Linked DNA regions of Alligator mississippiensis. The protein of the gene in region 1 interacts with the protein of each later gene in a pairwise test. Links are inferred from orthologs where the notes say so. Each region holds a gene or a part of one and is shown in the gene's direction. Other genes may lie near its edges.

Evidence for each region.
Region 2: the proteins of MGAT5B (region 1) and PITX1 interact in a two-hybrid assay, tested with the Homo sapiens proteins (2 studies listed by BioGRID). The link is inferred for Alligator mississippiensis from reciprocal best matches to the Homo sapiens genes MGAT5B and PITX1.

What each region holds. Positions count from the first base shown.
Region 1 is NC_081831.1:14,521,415-14,528,931, forward strand, and holds the start of MGAT5B (alpha-1,6-mannosylglycoprotein 6-beta-N-acetylglucosaminyltransferase B), read left to right. Parts: upstream 1-4,448; 5' UTR 4,449-5,219; coding exon 5,220-5,287; intron 5,288-7,517. UniProt on the Homo sapiens protein: Glycosyltransferase that acts on alpha-linked mannose of N-glycans and O-mannosyl glycans.
Region 2 is NC_081832.1:70,687,436-70,694,662, reverse strand, and holds the start of PITX1 (pituitary homeobox 1), read left to right. Parts: upstream 1-4,180; 5' UTR 4,181-4,219; coding exon 4,220-4,420; intron 4,421-4,734; exon of another isoform or gene 4,735-4,917; coding exon of another isoform or gene 4,918-5,016; intron 5,017-6,448; coding exon 6,449-6,503; intron 6,504-7,227. UniProt on the Homo sapiens protein: Sequence-specific transcription factor that binds gene promoters and activates their transcription. May play a role in the development of anterior structures, and in particular, the brain and facies and in specifying the identity or structure of hindlimb.

The sequences.
Region 1 (7,517 bases):
GAGACTAGAGTGAGTGACAACATGATGAAGCTGGGAACAAAGATTTTGGTGCGGTTATTTCTTTCCTGGAGACTGTTGGGTTTTTGTGGTGCCAGTGTGAACCAGAAGGGATGATAAGGGGGCTGTGGTAAAATAGGCAGCAAATACACAACTTTCAAGCCCAGAGGGACAAGTGTGATCCTCAGCTGAGCACAAGACATGGATTTTCACCGGGGTCTGGGACAGACGTTGCATAAACTGTTTTGACCCAAATCAGTTCAGTCTGATACTACATTCAACCAGGGTTATCTTAAACCAGTTTCAGCCATTTTGAAGCTGGTTTATGTGCACTGAACTTATGTTATGTTCCAGGTTTAAACCAGTTTCTGTTCACTTAAACTGGTTTATATGTAACCTGTGTCCCCAGCCCCAGTGACCCCTGCTCTGAGCCCTGTCGCCTGTGGGAGGAGCACAGAAGAATTTCTGGGGATCCTTCAGAGAGGCCTCAGTAGTGCGCAGGTCTTGTGCTGGCTTTCTGCACAAAGCTGGTAGTGGTGAGCAACAGGGGTATACATGAGGTGGATGAGAGGATTCAGCTGTTCCTCCGAATTAGAGCAGTAACAGGAGTTCCTAACGGTGCAGAGAAGCAGAAGGCAGTCAGGGTTCTTTGGGTAAATCTAGTATCTTTTTAGTTAGTCTAATAAAAGATATCGGATTTACCCAAAGAACCTCGTCTGCCTATGTCCTTCGACCAACACGACTACAACCTACACCAGAGAAGCAGAAAGTATTTGTCACTTCCTCTGCAGGAAGAAACATGGTGTTGGTTGCTGCAATAACAGTAATAATAGTAGAAATCCTAGTGGCCTCAGCCACCTCCCTTTCCATCTCCAGCTTTCTATTATTAAATGTATGAGTGAATTTAGGCTGGGATTTTCAAGGGAGCTGGAGGCTGGTAGATGCTCAAAGCTTTCTGTCAATGGGTTTTGGATGTCTAATTCCCCTGAAACCAAATGCCGAACTCCTAAGGGATCCTCCGATGCCAGCCTTGAGGGTAACAAAAATGGGAAGATTTGATTGGGATGAAGAGATTATTTATGCTAAACAAACTTCTCCCGTAGGTCTGCTAGTATGCCTCAAATCTGGCTGCCATGCTCCAGCCTGTGATAGCCCTGACCTGATGTAGCCCCGATACTCCTGCATGGGGATCCTTCTCCCTGGAAATTGTCCCAGTTGTGCAGAACTGGGTGTTGGTATGTTCAGGTCTCTCATCTTCACCAGCAGGGAGGGTGTGCATGTGAGGAGCCTTCCCCCTAAATAACCCAGGAGCAGTGGAGGCAGCCTGTCTGATGGAAATTAAACAAAGAAACATTTTTTCTTTAACACATCAGGCCCAGAAGCATGTAGTTGGTCCTTTGTTACCAGCAAATCTCCACTGAGCATAAGCCAAGTAGTCACATGAGTTGTCTGTCCTTAATATGCATATGGAGCCCTCTATTATGTAGCTCTGAGCTGGTTAGGAAATGATTTTCTCTCTGCGAAAAAATTTAATGAACACAAAACTGTTTGTTTTCATTCCGTTTTCATCAAACACTGAAAATTATGGACAATTTTCATAAAAGCTGCTGTTTTGTTGGGAAAATATTTCAATGGAAAATGTCCAACTGTGTCTAATCTAGGAGCTCTGATTCTTTTTCCTTTCTATTGGCATGGTTTTGGCAGGGATGATTCTGTCTTGAGCTCCGGGTTGGACTAGATGACATCCTGAAGTCCCTTCTAGCCCTGTATATTGTCAATGATTCTGTATCCTATGTGATTTTGATACTGCCTTTTTGTCTGTGGAGCTCATGGATTTAGCAGAGTGACTGTGGACTTGCGTCAAGGTGACAACAGGATCAGTGCCCAGGTCTCATATGGAAATAAGAGTTACAGTTTCACAACAGTCATAATATGGCATTTCATCTTGATCAGCCTTATGGGAAAATGCCGGGCTCTTACATAAGCAAGGGAACCCTGCAATTAGTTTATAAAGGAGTGGGTGTTTGTCTTCTCATTACTGTGACTGTGTCATATTAATAATGTGGCACCAGGAAAGCGTATGATAGGAGTCAGCCTGGGTGACGTCTCTGCAGAGGTGAAGAACACACGAAGGAGGGAAAGGGTGCAGAGAGAAGGGAGGAAGCATGAGATGTGTTTGTATGTAGAAGCGCATCTAATACAGAAGAGGACATCATTATGTTACTATTATAGATGCACCAGTCAAAATCATTCCTTTCCTGTACGTCACACACTCTACAGCCAGGTCCATCCAGAGCCTGGTTCAAGTGTAAATTAGGGCAAATTTGCCCTTTTCATTTTGTTTCAGTCAGTCAATCTTGGAATCTGTTCAGCAGCCCAGAAGCTGGCATCAGACTCATATAGAAGAGAGACTTGTTAGTGGACTATTCGGGTATTCAGAAGCAGAGTTGGTAAGATCAGGTCTGTGAAATACAGCCTCATTTTGTACTGTTGGATGTATGTTATTCCTTATACTGCAGTGAAAACAACACGTACAGCAATTAGGAAAAGCCATGATTCCATGGATGGTATGTGGATGGTACCAGAACCACAGGAGCAGAATTCCTCTTGGGCTGAGTGGCTGTCTGTTTGGGAGATGCTTCAGTAATACTATGGTCTCAGCTGTAATAAGGTGTGTGGACTGTGAGCTGCTGGTGACTCTAGGGTTCAGCATTGCTATCACAGAGGCCCTGAAGAATCCTAGCACTTGCCTCTGTGTGTGTGTGCATGTGCATGTGCATGTGTGTGTGCATGCACACATGCGTGCTGTGACTCCAGATGTCTACAGCTGTGTGTGTGTGTGTGTGTGTGTGTGTGTGTGTGTGTGTGAGAAATCACCTCTCCCCTGTGTGGGCCTCAGAACTGTCTCCTCTTATGGGTGGGGAAAATGTCTCACTTGAAAACTGGTTCATGCACTGACCAGCAGTTCTGTTGAAGGGGCTTCCATAGAGTAAGGAGGGAGGTCTGGCCTTCCACAGAAGCTGGGGGGCTAAGTATGACTGGGCTGTGTCTGTGTGCTTGCCAGAGCCAGCTACGTGCAAGACAACTCTGCTAACCACGTCAACAGCTAGGTTCAGTACATGGGAAAACAGGGTGGCATTTTACTTCTTTATGTAGATTTGGTTCTTGATCACACTCCAAAGAGAAACTCCATACAAAGCTCTGGGCCCCTTGACTCACGAGAGCAAAGATTATACAAAGTGAGCAATGAAAAAAGTAGACACTGCCTTTATTTTTCCCAGCCCACCACAGAGTAGCTGGTCACCAGTCTTGTGCCTATGTTATACTTTCACACTCCCGCTCTTCCACCATCTCAGCCCTTGGCCAGTTTCTAGTCCATGACAGGTTCAGAAGGTCAGTAAATTCAGTTGTTTGAAACTCCTTAGGCTGTGATCACCTCTCTTCTCCAGTGCTACCTCTGTCATTTGCTATTTTTTTGTTCCAGGAGATGAAGATGTCCTCATAGCAAATGTTGCCTTTTCACATGGTGACTCCCAGACAAGTCAAATGATGACCCATCATCAAGAATTGCTAATTGTCATGTCAAGGCTAACAGGGCTGCAGTGGTGGGTGCTGTTCTAAGGGGATATTCAGAAATCATGGAAGCAGTACAGGTGGTTCCCTAAACAAGGCTCAATTCTGTACAAAGTTGCACTGGTGTGTGTCTGCAAAAACTCCATTACAAGTATGTTCCCTACATGTGTTTGTAGCAGTTGGTTAACAGGATGCAGTCAGTGCTGCCATGACGCGTCATGGATGAATCTTCAGGCCAAATATCTTGTTCTTATTTCCAATGCAGAAAATCAACTACTCACTTTTATTGGGATCTATGTACTGAGCCTCAAGCACTAACACCAGGAGGACTTTTGGATGGAGCCTTCATAAACAATGAACTGGATTCTGATCTGTTTTATGCCCATGTGAAATCCACTGAAAATCTTACCATAAGGGAGGTGGATTCAAGTCTGGAGTTTCTGTCTTATCTACACATATTTTCTGGTACTTCTCATAAGTGTAGGGGTTTGTCCTGGTGTCTTCCTGGAAAGTCTTCACTTCCTCTGTTGTGCAGCCTGCTGTTTCCAAGTTGACTGCCATCCTCCATACCATAGTGGCTGCATTTACAAGATGCTTCCTGTCTACAATTTGCAAAGTGCTTTGGGGTGCATATCAACATATAAATGAGCAATATTAATTGCTGTTGTCACTGAAATAGGAGTTTTCTAAACAATATGACAGCCAGGGAGAGCGTCCATAATTCTATATGGATGTGCTGCTGATGAGATATCGAATTCTCTGGAGTGAGGGAGTCCAAAGAAGCAACGCAACCTCTGCATCAGTCCTAGCATAGTTGCTTCATAGAAACTGGCCTACACCACACCCTTTTGTTGCCACTAGATGGTGCCCAATTCACAATTTAGCAAGGAAGCTTTCTCCAATCCCTGCTTTAACAGTGCAGCCTTCTCAGGTGGAAACAATGCGGTGCCTGCTCAAATTAAAGCGAAGGGCTGGATGCCGAAGATTGTGCAAGGGAGCTCCCAGGATGGGATGGAGCTGGATCCTGTAACCTTTGCATCCCTAGATGTGATCAGGAGCCCCACTGGGATCTCAGTGCTGTGCCGACTTTTGACTGCGGAGCATTGCCAGAGGACAGCAAGTAGCTGGAAGTGCTGAGCGCTGGCAGGGAGATGTCAGGCATTTGACTCCAGATGAGGTGAGGCTATTGGGAGGATAAAGTGGGGGTGATGAAGGATCCCATGAGCAGGAATCGAGGTCTCCCCCACCTTGCCCAGCAGTGGATTTGTCTTCTCCGAGGAGAGATGGACGGAGAGAAGTGCTGCTATTAGCTACCACCTGCCTCCAAAATGTGAATAACAATAATAATAACAACAACAAAATCCCACCAGTGCACACAGTTCAGTTGCTCTCCCTCTGCTGAAAGGTTGTTCATCGAGAGCAGACAAAGGTTTGCCAGGGAGGGCTTCCCCTTGGAAGAGGAAGAGACCACCTCCACAAGAAGACCTGTAGTCCTTTGCTGTGAACTTGGATCGGTTGGGGTTATTTTGGTACTGCCCCATGCACAAATCCTTCTCATCCAGCCAACCATGAGCTTCGAAGAGTGGCAGCGTGTGGCAGTTTAAAGTGTCAGGTTGCTGCTTTTTCCTTTTCTTTGCTAAGTTTGAACAATGATCACTGTCAATTCGGATGGAAAAATAATGGTCAGAAGATGTCTCGTCACCTTGAGACCTTTTAGGTAAAGTTACTTTTATTGCCCTATTTCCTGTTTTCTCTCTGCCTTTTCAACCTAGCCTGCTTTTAGCACCAGGGGATCAGAATCTAAGAAGTCTTCTAAGACTAAAATCTTGTGTCAGTTGCTGTTTTCCAGGGGAATCGATCCCAGATTAAAATGTCAAGAATCCAAGTAAGTGTGTCTTTAGGTCAGTGTGATGGGAGCTGACATGTGGCTCTGTTACATGCTGCACGTTGACTTCTAATTTATTCATTATGCTAATATCTGGTGGGTATTGGTTGCAGGTTTTTAAATGCCTTTTTGAGTGATGTTTGTACCACACTGGAGAATCAATACATACAAATTAGAAGCTAGCTTTGACTCTCAGTGATAGTGGTGCAAATCCATTGATATTTATGGCTAAGGCAAGATTCACACTTGTAGCCAACAGCAGAATTTGGTCCTAAGTCAGACAGTAATAGCTCCCCTTCCCATTTGTATTTGTGCATTTCCACCTACAGTTCCCTGCAACAACTAGAAAGTTTTACGAGTCTTACAATTGATTTGCCTAAACCCCCTGCAATAAATCTCCCCTTTTTTGGTTCATTCATAATGTGAAGACACATTTTTCCAGTGCTTGTCTGCGCGCTTATTTTGGAGGAAGTACAGCTCATTCACTTTCCGCCAACAAAGGGCACTGATTTGACTCTTATTTGTATGTGTTTTTTGGGGGGAGAGGAATTTGCAAAAACAGGCCAGGATTGAGGGACAACAGGAGTGAAGCAAACTCATCTCAGAAGTTACTAGTCACCCAAGTAGTAGAAAGGAGTCTGTGGAGTGTTTTTTAGGAACTGGGGAATCCTGGGTTTTTAACTTGGCCAGGTTTGGTCAGAGCTGTCTCTTTCTCTGATGGCATAAGCTTGAAGAATTCTAGGTGATGATATTTCTTCTGTCTGGTCTGTCTCCATGACTGGAGTACTTCTTGAGCACATAATGATCTTCAGTGGATTTATCCTCACAACACCCCTGGTCAGGTGGGGTGGTGGTAGTAACTTCATTGTACAGATGGAGATTGAGGCTAACAGAGGCACTAAAGGCCATAGTCACAAAGGTATTTAGGAGTCTAACTCCCTATTGAAATCCATGCGAATTTAGGTGCCTAAATACCTTTGCGAATCCGGATGTGACTTGCCCAAAGTGGCACAGGAAGTCTGTGGCAGTGTGGGGGAAACTGAACCCAGGTTTCCCAGCACTAGTGCTCTAACTACTGAACCATCCTTCTGCATCCTCTGGGTAAGCTGGGGTTCAGGGAAGTAATTCTGGTTGGAAGTAGGTCACTGAGGGACAGCGTCTCCACACTAGCTTGGCAGGAACTTTGGCTGCAATTGCACCGCAAAGAGGTTGAGGGGTAATGAATGGGGGGAAAGGGTGAGCCAGCAAGGCTGGTCTGTGGGGCAGATGTCTATTGGCAGCAGAACTAGCTACCTGCAGTGACAACTTAGAGAAGAGAGAGGTACGTACCTGAGGCTGGGGCAGCTGTGGGTGTATGGAATGAGTGGTGGGAGCCATTCCTTCTTCAGTGGTCCTCACCTTGAGGAAGTCCTGACTCCTCTGAAGCACCTAGAAGAACTCCAATAAGCTTAATGGGTAATTTGTGTACCCCTGGGTTGGGGCAGGGACAGGCTGGGGCATAGACCTATCCAGGAAGCAAGGGGCCAGCAAGGGACCGTAATTGTAGCAATGCACCCGCTGCGCCAGTTGTCATACACTATACACAGGCATCTCCTAGAACTGTCACTTTTTCTCATGATGAATGACACTCAGTTTAACAGAAGAGCAGACTCTGTGTTGCTGTGCTGGGCTTGGGGGCTGCCTTCCACAGGGGAGCATGCCCAGTGCAGCTTCGAGAGGGCCTATTTGCTGATCTTCATGACTATGCTTATTAAACACCAAGATGAAGTTATCAGCAGATGCTTGCCTGTTGGGAGAGAGAATCCTAGAGTGGTAAAATCTTATTTCCAGCTGCATCCCAGGAGCTAGGCTTGCATAGGACAAACAGCAGAGAGGCACAGGGCATGGGCAAAATCTGATTAAAATAAGGCTGGGGAGTCTGACCGGAGTAAGCCCATGAGAGAGTGATGCGGTGATGGTGAAAGGTGATCAGATGGGAACGCCAGCGACAAAGTCCTAAACAGAATTAGGGACTTGGCAATAATCCCTGTGTACCTGGGACCTGATTCTGCTGTCAAACTTG
Region 2 (7,227 bases), on another chromosome or scaffold:
AGATGCCTAAATCCAAAAGTGCACTCCTGAGAGCCTCCACTTCTCCTCTAGCTTTTCACTAGTAAAGTTCTCTCTAACATCCTGATTCTAGAAATGCTAGAAATGTCTCCATTGGTGCTGAGCAGTTCAGCACCTATCTCATGTCTAAACCCCTTGGCCTCAATAAACTAAGTGTGCCCCAGCTGACATCGCCATTAGACATGTTCAGGGTATGCCTAGTATGCATCTGCAGGGCTCTGTCCATTGCATGGAAGCATGCCAGGCACGTAAAAGACAGGCACTACAACATTCAGCGATGCAGTCCTAAAGCCATGTGTGATTCTAGCCACGTGCTGACTCTGTAGCACAGATCAGCCAGGGGCCCGTGCCTTCATCAGCAGAACCATACTTTATTTTAATTTCTGTGGGTGAAATCCTGCTTTCCTGAAGTTAAAGTCAAGGTTCCCTTTGACTTCAGAAGCCTACTATTTCTCCCACAATGAACTGTTAGAGACTTAAAGCTTTGTATGTAATCCTTGAAGTTAAGGGGTGTTCCCCATTGAGTCAATGTATCTGTGCTCCAGCTCTGCCACTGACTTGCTAACTGACCTTTGGCAAGTTCCTTCACCTCTTTGGATCTCCTAGCATTCCTCCCTAAAAATTGGGCTAAATCATGGTTTCAACTATCTGCAAAGTGACATTTTTCTCCAAGAGCTGATATTTCTCCCCAGGGTATTCTGCATTTTAGTTTTCACAAGCTCCTTTGAAGTCCTTGATGAAGAAGTATAATGGTAGCTCTTGAAAGCTTGCTGTGGTTTACCTAAGATAAATATATAAGATTATCTCAATATTTGCAATATTCCCTTGTCCAGGTACAAGCTAAAGGCACTACCTTTAATACTGCAAATACTAAGGTTATCAAACTACAAATACTTTTCAGTAAGTAGCAACGTCAATTGGAAAAGCTTCAAGAGCCACTACTGTAGTGCAAAAGTGAAGGATATTCGTGGTTTTTTCTGATGACATTTCACCAGTGAAAATCATATCTCGCACCTTATACTAAGGGACTATGTTAAATCCCAGAGAAACAGCCTGGCTACACAAAAAAACAGTGCTTAGAATTTTCAAAATCTGCAAGTCCTATTTTCAAAAGTTAATTAGGTGCTTAGGAATCATTTGAAAGTGGGATTTAGATTTAGGTTCCTCAGTTCTTAAGTCAAAGGTGCTTTGGCATTTTTTACCCATCACTTGCATTTTCACATGGGGTGTAAAACAAAATTAGAAGCGAGGACGGGTGTATAACATGGGGGGAATGAAACCAGTCTAATGCTATCTTGACTTGAGGACAGTTTGATGAACTCTTCACATGAGAATAGGTGAATCTGCAGTATGAATAGTGTTGAAGATACAGTAGGAAACCAGCTCAGTAGCCCTGTTCGAGGGCTGTACAATTGCATGTTTGCATAAATGATATAGTGTAACTAATGCCATTCCCTCCACATTTAGAAATTAACTTCAAATCATTAGGACCATCTTCTACCACAGCAATGTAGAATATTTCTGATGCAGAGCAATTATAAGACAAGAAAGGGCTAAATATTCACCAGAGAAAATTGTGTGTCCTCAGGGAGACACTAGGATTACACCCCCCAGCCTCACCCCCATTGTATTTCAGGAGTCTGAGAAGGATTATTAAGGGGAAGCATAATACCCTGGTGCTTAATCGAGGATGCCCGTGTGAGTTGTTTCCCTGTATCCTCCTAAATTGCACAATCAAATAAAATGCACATTTAACGGGCAGCTTATTAGACGCACAAGCTGGGACACACTTATCCCACATCTAACTCCACTGACTTCTACAAGAAGGGACAGGACCCAGGGTGCTTGAACCAACTCTGCCTCTTGCTCTGATTATTTTCTTTTCTCTTACACCATAAGTCGCAAAGGGCAGATAGTGCAGGGGACATGCTACAAAGCAGCAGTGTCTGTAAGGCTATACATGAAAGCGAAGCTGTAGTTAGAATGAAGGTAGCTGTAGTCGCTTAGGGCTCTCTCACATCCATGTGGGGAAAAGCATTTATTGTCTCCCCTGCTCCCTTCCTGGGTCCCTCTGTCTGGTCTTTAATTAGGTATTTTTTGGCTCAGGTGTGGGAGAGGGGATGCTCTTGTGGACCCTGGTGATTGCCTGTGATAGCCGGGAGCTTGTCTCAGCAGCCCGGGGAGTCCATTCCAGTCCTAATGAAAAGTTCCTGTGTTGCATTGTTCCAGAAAGAGAGCGCTTTGCAGGGCTCGGGCTCTACCAGATCTGCTCTTAGCTAATAAGCCATACTGAGGAGGCTGTATCCCTCAGAAGGAGCCAGGATCACATTTGCCAGAACGTCTGTTCTCGCTCTGCCTTTCTCTTCAAGGTGTTTCTCTCCCGCCACCCTTGGGAAACCCACTCCCCTGCTTTTCCGCCAGGCCCCCGGAGCCCTCGTACACCTGGGGAAGCTCCCCTTCCTTGGGTCCATGTAGGTTTCACACGTAACCATCTGCTTGAGGAAGACTTTATAATAACACATCATTAAGCATTGATTTAAAGACAATCATCTTCCCTCTCTTTAATTTCACAGCACCTTTAAAACAGCTGCTAGGCTGCAGCAGGGACGATCAGCCAGACAGGAAACACATTGTTAGCTGCTCGCATTAAAACAGTAGAATGCATTAATTTATGAGCTCCTACTCGCTCTCCAAACGTTTTATTATGTTAATATCACCTTGATGTGTTGGGTAGGCCCTTGTGCCAAAGCCTCATTCGCACAGTATGTGCCATCCTAAATTACAGGCTGGATCCGTCCTGGAGCTGCCTTTGGAAAACTGGAGTAAACCATAAAGCACTAAAGTTAATATTATCTTACAGACTAACAACCAGTTAATACTCGACATGTGAATTCCATTTACTTCTTCTCTATATAACAAATAGCAAGTGTGGGATTGGACTGGTTCTGATTTTATGCAATTTATCTTCTTGATCCATTCCATATTCAGACACACATCCTTTATTTTTCAGCTATAGTTATACCCTGTGAAGTCAGAGCCCCTTAAACTTGGGAACAGCCAAGAGACACCCCGGCTTAAATTTTAAATGGTCCCTGCCCTGTCAGTGTCTCTTGGCAGCACAGGGATGCCACTGGAACGCCTTGGGTTTTTGCTATTTTTTTTTTCTGCACATGTGGGGAAAGGCAGAAAGAAAGAAATCTTGGAACTGAAGTCGGTGAGCATGGAAACCCCTGAGAGTCGGCTGAACTAATGCAAAGGGTCTTAGGAAAATGGATGGAGAGATGGAGAGGCAGATAGGCCAGATCACTCGATGGGTATAATTATTAATTTATTCTCTAACCCACAAAACACTCCCAGTGACGAAGGGTTCCTCTAAAGGCCAAGAATACAAAGGGTTCCTGCAATACTGTCCATTTCATCCTCTGGCTGATAGTATTTCTTGCTCTCACTTTGGTTTGGGCTCCAGCCTCATTGTGTGAATGCCACAAGCTTTCAGCCCCAGCACCAAATCTGCCCGGCTACCAGGCTTTATGTGCAAAATACCAGCTCTGACTTTCTACCAAATATTCTGCCCCGAGTCCTTTGCCTTCTTGCACTCAGCCTGATTAGCTCCAGCCCCGGGTTCACTTAGGAGTTCATTGCAACAACAAAGTGGTTAAAATCCCAGGTTTTTCCAGGGGCTTTTCCTTAAAAGAAAAAAAAAAAGTTGGTAACCCCTCCCCCACCCTCCCAAAAAAGGCCAAGGGAAATGAACTCTAATTGTGTCCCTTTTCCTGGCACCGGGGTCCTGTGAACTGCAGGCCTGGCGGGGAACACTGCATGCCTTCAGTAATGTGCACACACCTCTGGCCCAGTGATATCTTCTAATCCTGACTTCAACCCAAGGGCAAGCAGAAGTCCCCCCCAGCTCCTACCCAGAAGAGAGGAGCACAGACCAGGAAAATCAGAGGCCTTTTCTTCCCCTCCTCTCCCCCTGCTTGCAAATCCCTAGCCTCCGAGGCCTTCCCCTGCAGGTTGAGCCTGTCTCCTGCCTATGGAGCGATGCAAGGGCAGGTAAGGCCGGCTCCAGCCACTGGGGAGCAGGCCTGGGAGCAGGGAACCAGCCGCCCTCCTGCCAGGGGGATCCTAGCACAAGGGGCAAAAAGGAGGCGCTGCCTCCCGGGCCGGGCTCGGCAGCCTTCCCCGCTCCCCGGGGCGGGCGATGCAAGGCGCTGGGGGCCAGGGGAGCCCCCACCTCTCTCCACCCCGCTGTACGCCCAGCAGGAGGCGCTGCGCGGCGGCGGTGGCCGGGCCCCGAGCAGCCCCGGGGCCGGGCCAGGCTCGCCTGTGCCGGCTCCCGGAGAGACCCTGGCGCGCACGGAGCGGCGGCGGAGAGCAGCTGGCAGTCAGTGGGAGCCCGCAGGTGGGGCGGCTCGGGCTGCATCCCCCCGTCCGGCCCGGGGCAGCAGCTGCATTTCGGTGCAAAAAAATAACACCAAGAATCCCAACGCTGCGCCCCTCCCCGCGGCCTCCGGTCGGTCGCCCGGGAGCTGGTCCCTAGGCTCTCGCGGAGGAGGGCAGCTCCCAGGTGTGCGCTCGCCTCGCAAGCCGCGGGGGCTCAGCAGAGGATCGGGCCCGGGAGCTGCGCTGCAGCCGCGGGGAGTCTCGGGCTGGGCGCCCGGGGTCGGCGCCTGCAGAGCCCGTCTCCAGCCGGCTCCACGGGCCCGAGGGCTCAGCTTCATAGCGGCGAGAACCGGCCCCGCGGCGTCCCGGGCAGCCCCCGGCTCCGGGCGGCTCGTGGCTAGAAGTGGAAGGAGAGAAGCGGCCGGAGCCGGGGAGGGAAGGCGCGGGGCTGCCGCACAGCCGTGCCCCGAGGGCTTGTGCGAGCGGCGTCGCCGTCCAGGGGGCAAGCAAAGCGGGATGGTGCCGCCGCCCCGCGAGCCGTCCTGGGCTGAGAGCCCGGCGGGCTGCGGGCGTCCCGGGCTCCCTCCTGGGCGAGAAAAGAAAACAGCGGTGATGGTGAGGATGAGAGCAATGACAGTCCTGAACACAGGAATAGCAGTAATGATAGCAATAATAGGAACGGGAATCGTCTTGATAACGAGAGCAATAATAATAGTTATAATAAGGATAACAATCGTGGGGGTGGTGATAGCAATAATAATAACAACAATAATAGTAATAATAATAATAATGATGATGATAATGATAGCAATAATGATGGCAATAGTCATAATAATGATAACAGCGATGATAATAAGAGTAATAATGATGGCAATAGTAATAATAATGATGATGATAACAGCGAAGATGATAAGAGTAATAATGATAGCAATAATGATGGCAATAGTCATAGTAATGATAATAACAACAGTAGTCGTTGTAACTGGAATGATGATAGCAATAATGATGATAATAGCAACAGTAACAAAAATTATAGCAATGCTGATGATAGTCATGATAATAATAATAATGACAGTAATAATAATAGCAATAATAATGATGGTGCTACTAATAGTAATGATAGCGATACTAATTATAGTACTGATAAGGAGAGCATAATAATGATGGTGATATTAACAGTAATGATAATGATAGATAATCGTAATAGTAATAATAAGGGTAGCAATATTGTTGATAGTAATGATAATAACTAATAATAACGATAGTAGTACTGATGACAATAATAATGCTATAATAATAATAATGGTGATAGTAATAAAGTAATATTAAGGGTATTAATACTAATAATGATAATAAAGATTATAGTAATAATGGCAACAATAATAATGATGGTGATAGTGATAACAGCAATCGTAATAATAATGATAGCAGTACTAATGATGATGATCGTAATGATATTAATAGTAAAATAAGGAGAGCGATAATCATGATGGTGATAGTAATAGTAATGATAATAGTAAAGTCATAAGGATATCAATACTGCTGATGATAATGATGATAGTAATAAGGATAGCAATAATCATGATGGCGATAGTAATAGTAATGGTGATAATAATATCAATAATACTAATGCCAGCAAATGTTGCTGACGATGCTAGCAATGGCACTAGAGAGGTAACAGTGGCAGTGATGTTAGGATAACGGTGGTGCGGAGAAGCACGGGGCAGTCATCATCACAGACATTGCTACTTGCCCGCTCGGTGCCCGTGCTCCGTGTGTGGGTCCTTGTCCCAGCGGCCGCGCGCGGAGCTCGCTCGTGTCTGCCCTGCCGGTGCCCGGTGCCCGCGGAGCTGTTCGGTGAAACCGCTGCTTCTCCGAGAGTTTCTCCTGCGCGTTTCCTTCTTGGGCAGGGCCGGTCCGGGCTGCTCGGGCCCTCCCGAGAGCGGCTGGCTTGGCTGCCCGAGCCCGGGACAAACCTGAGGCTTCCTACCAGGCTGCGGAGCAGCGGCCCCGCTCCCCTTGACGGCTCCTTTCCTTGTCCACACAGATCCGTGTCATGGAGCCGAGCCCGTCCCGGAGCGTCCCCGCCCGCGCCGCCGCAGGTAAGACGGCGCCGCTGGGCCCCGCGGGGCTCAGCCCGCGGTTCTCCGGCTCGGGGACGAGTCTCGGACACGTGTCGCGCCGGGGTCCTTAGGTGACACACGGGGGAAGCTCTCGGGCCGGAGCGCCGCTAACGCGGGCTAAGTCCCGTCTGCCCGAACTGCCCTGGAGCCGGGGTTCGGGGCTCCCCCGCGCCGCGGCCGCTCGCAGGCTGTCGTTCCTGGTCGCACGGGCCAGCTGCGATCCGAGGAGGCTCCCGTGCTGCGTTTGCTCTGCAAGGGGGAGCGAAGCCCCGGCATTTACCCCGCGCCAGGGGGGAGCAGACAGCCGCTCGCTTTGCTGCGCCGGAGCAAAACCAAACTCCATCTCTCTTTTTGCGGGATCGGCACGAAGGGGAATTGTTTCCCGGTCCCAAACAGGAACACCAGGTCCCGGCGCGTTGTTACAGTGGTTTCAGCCTTGTAGGAAATGTCCCGATGGGGGGAAACGTGTCTCTCTCCCCCCCCCCCCCCCCCCAGCGTCCAGGTCCTGCAGCAATGAAGCAAGGGGAGTGGGGAGGGGGGCACCCAATGGAAACATACTCTCCGATTGCTCTTGTGTTTGCAGAGCCGGAGTCCGTCCCTAGGTGCTGGCGACACCCCGGGTCCCGGCTCCATCCACAGCTGCAGAAATAAGGCGCTGGGGGGGGGGGTGTTTCTGAATCTAAGACGGGGCCGATCCCCGCGC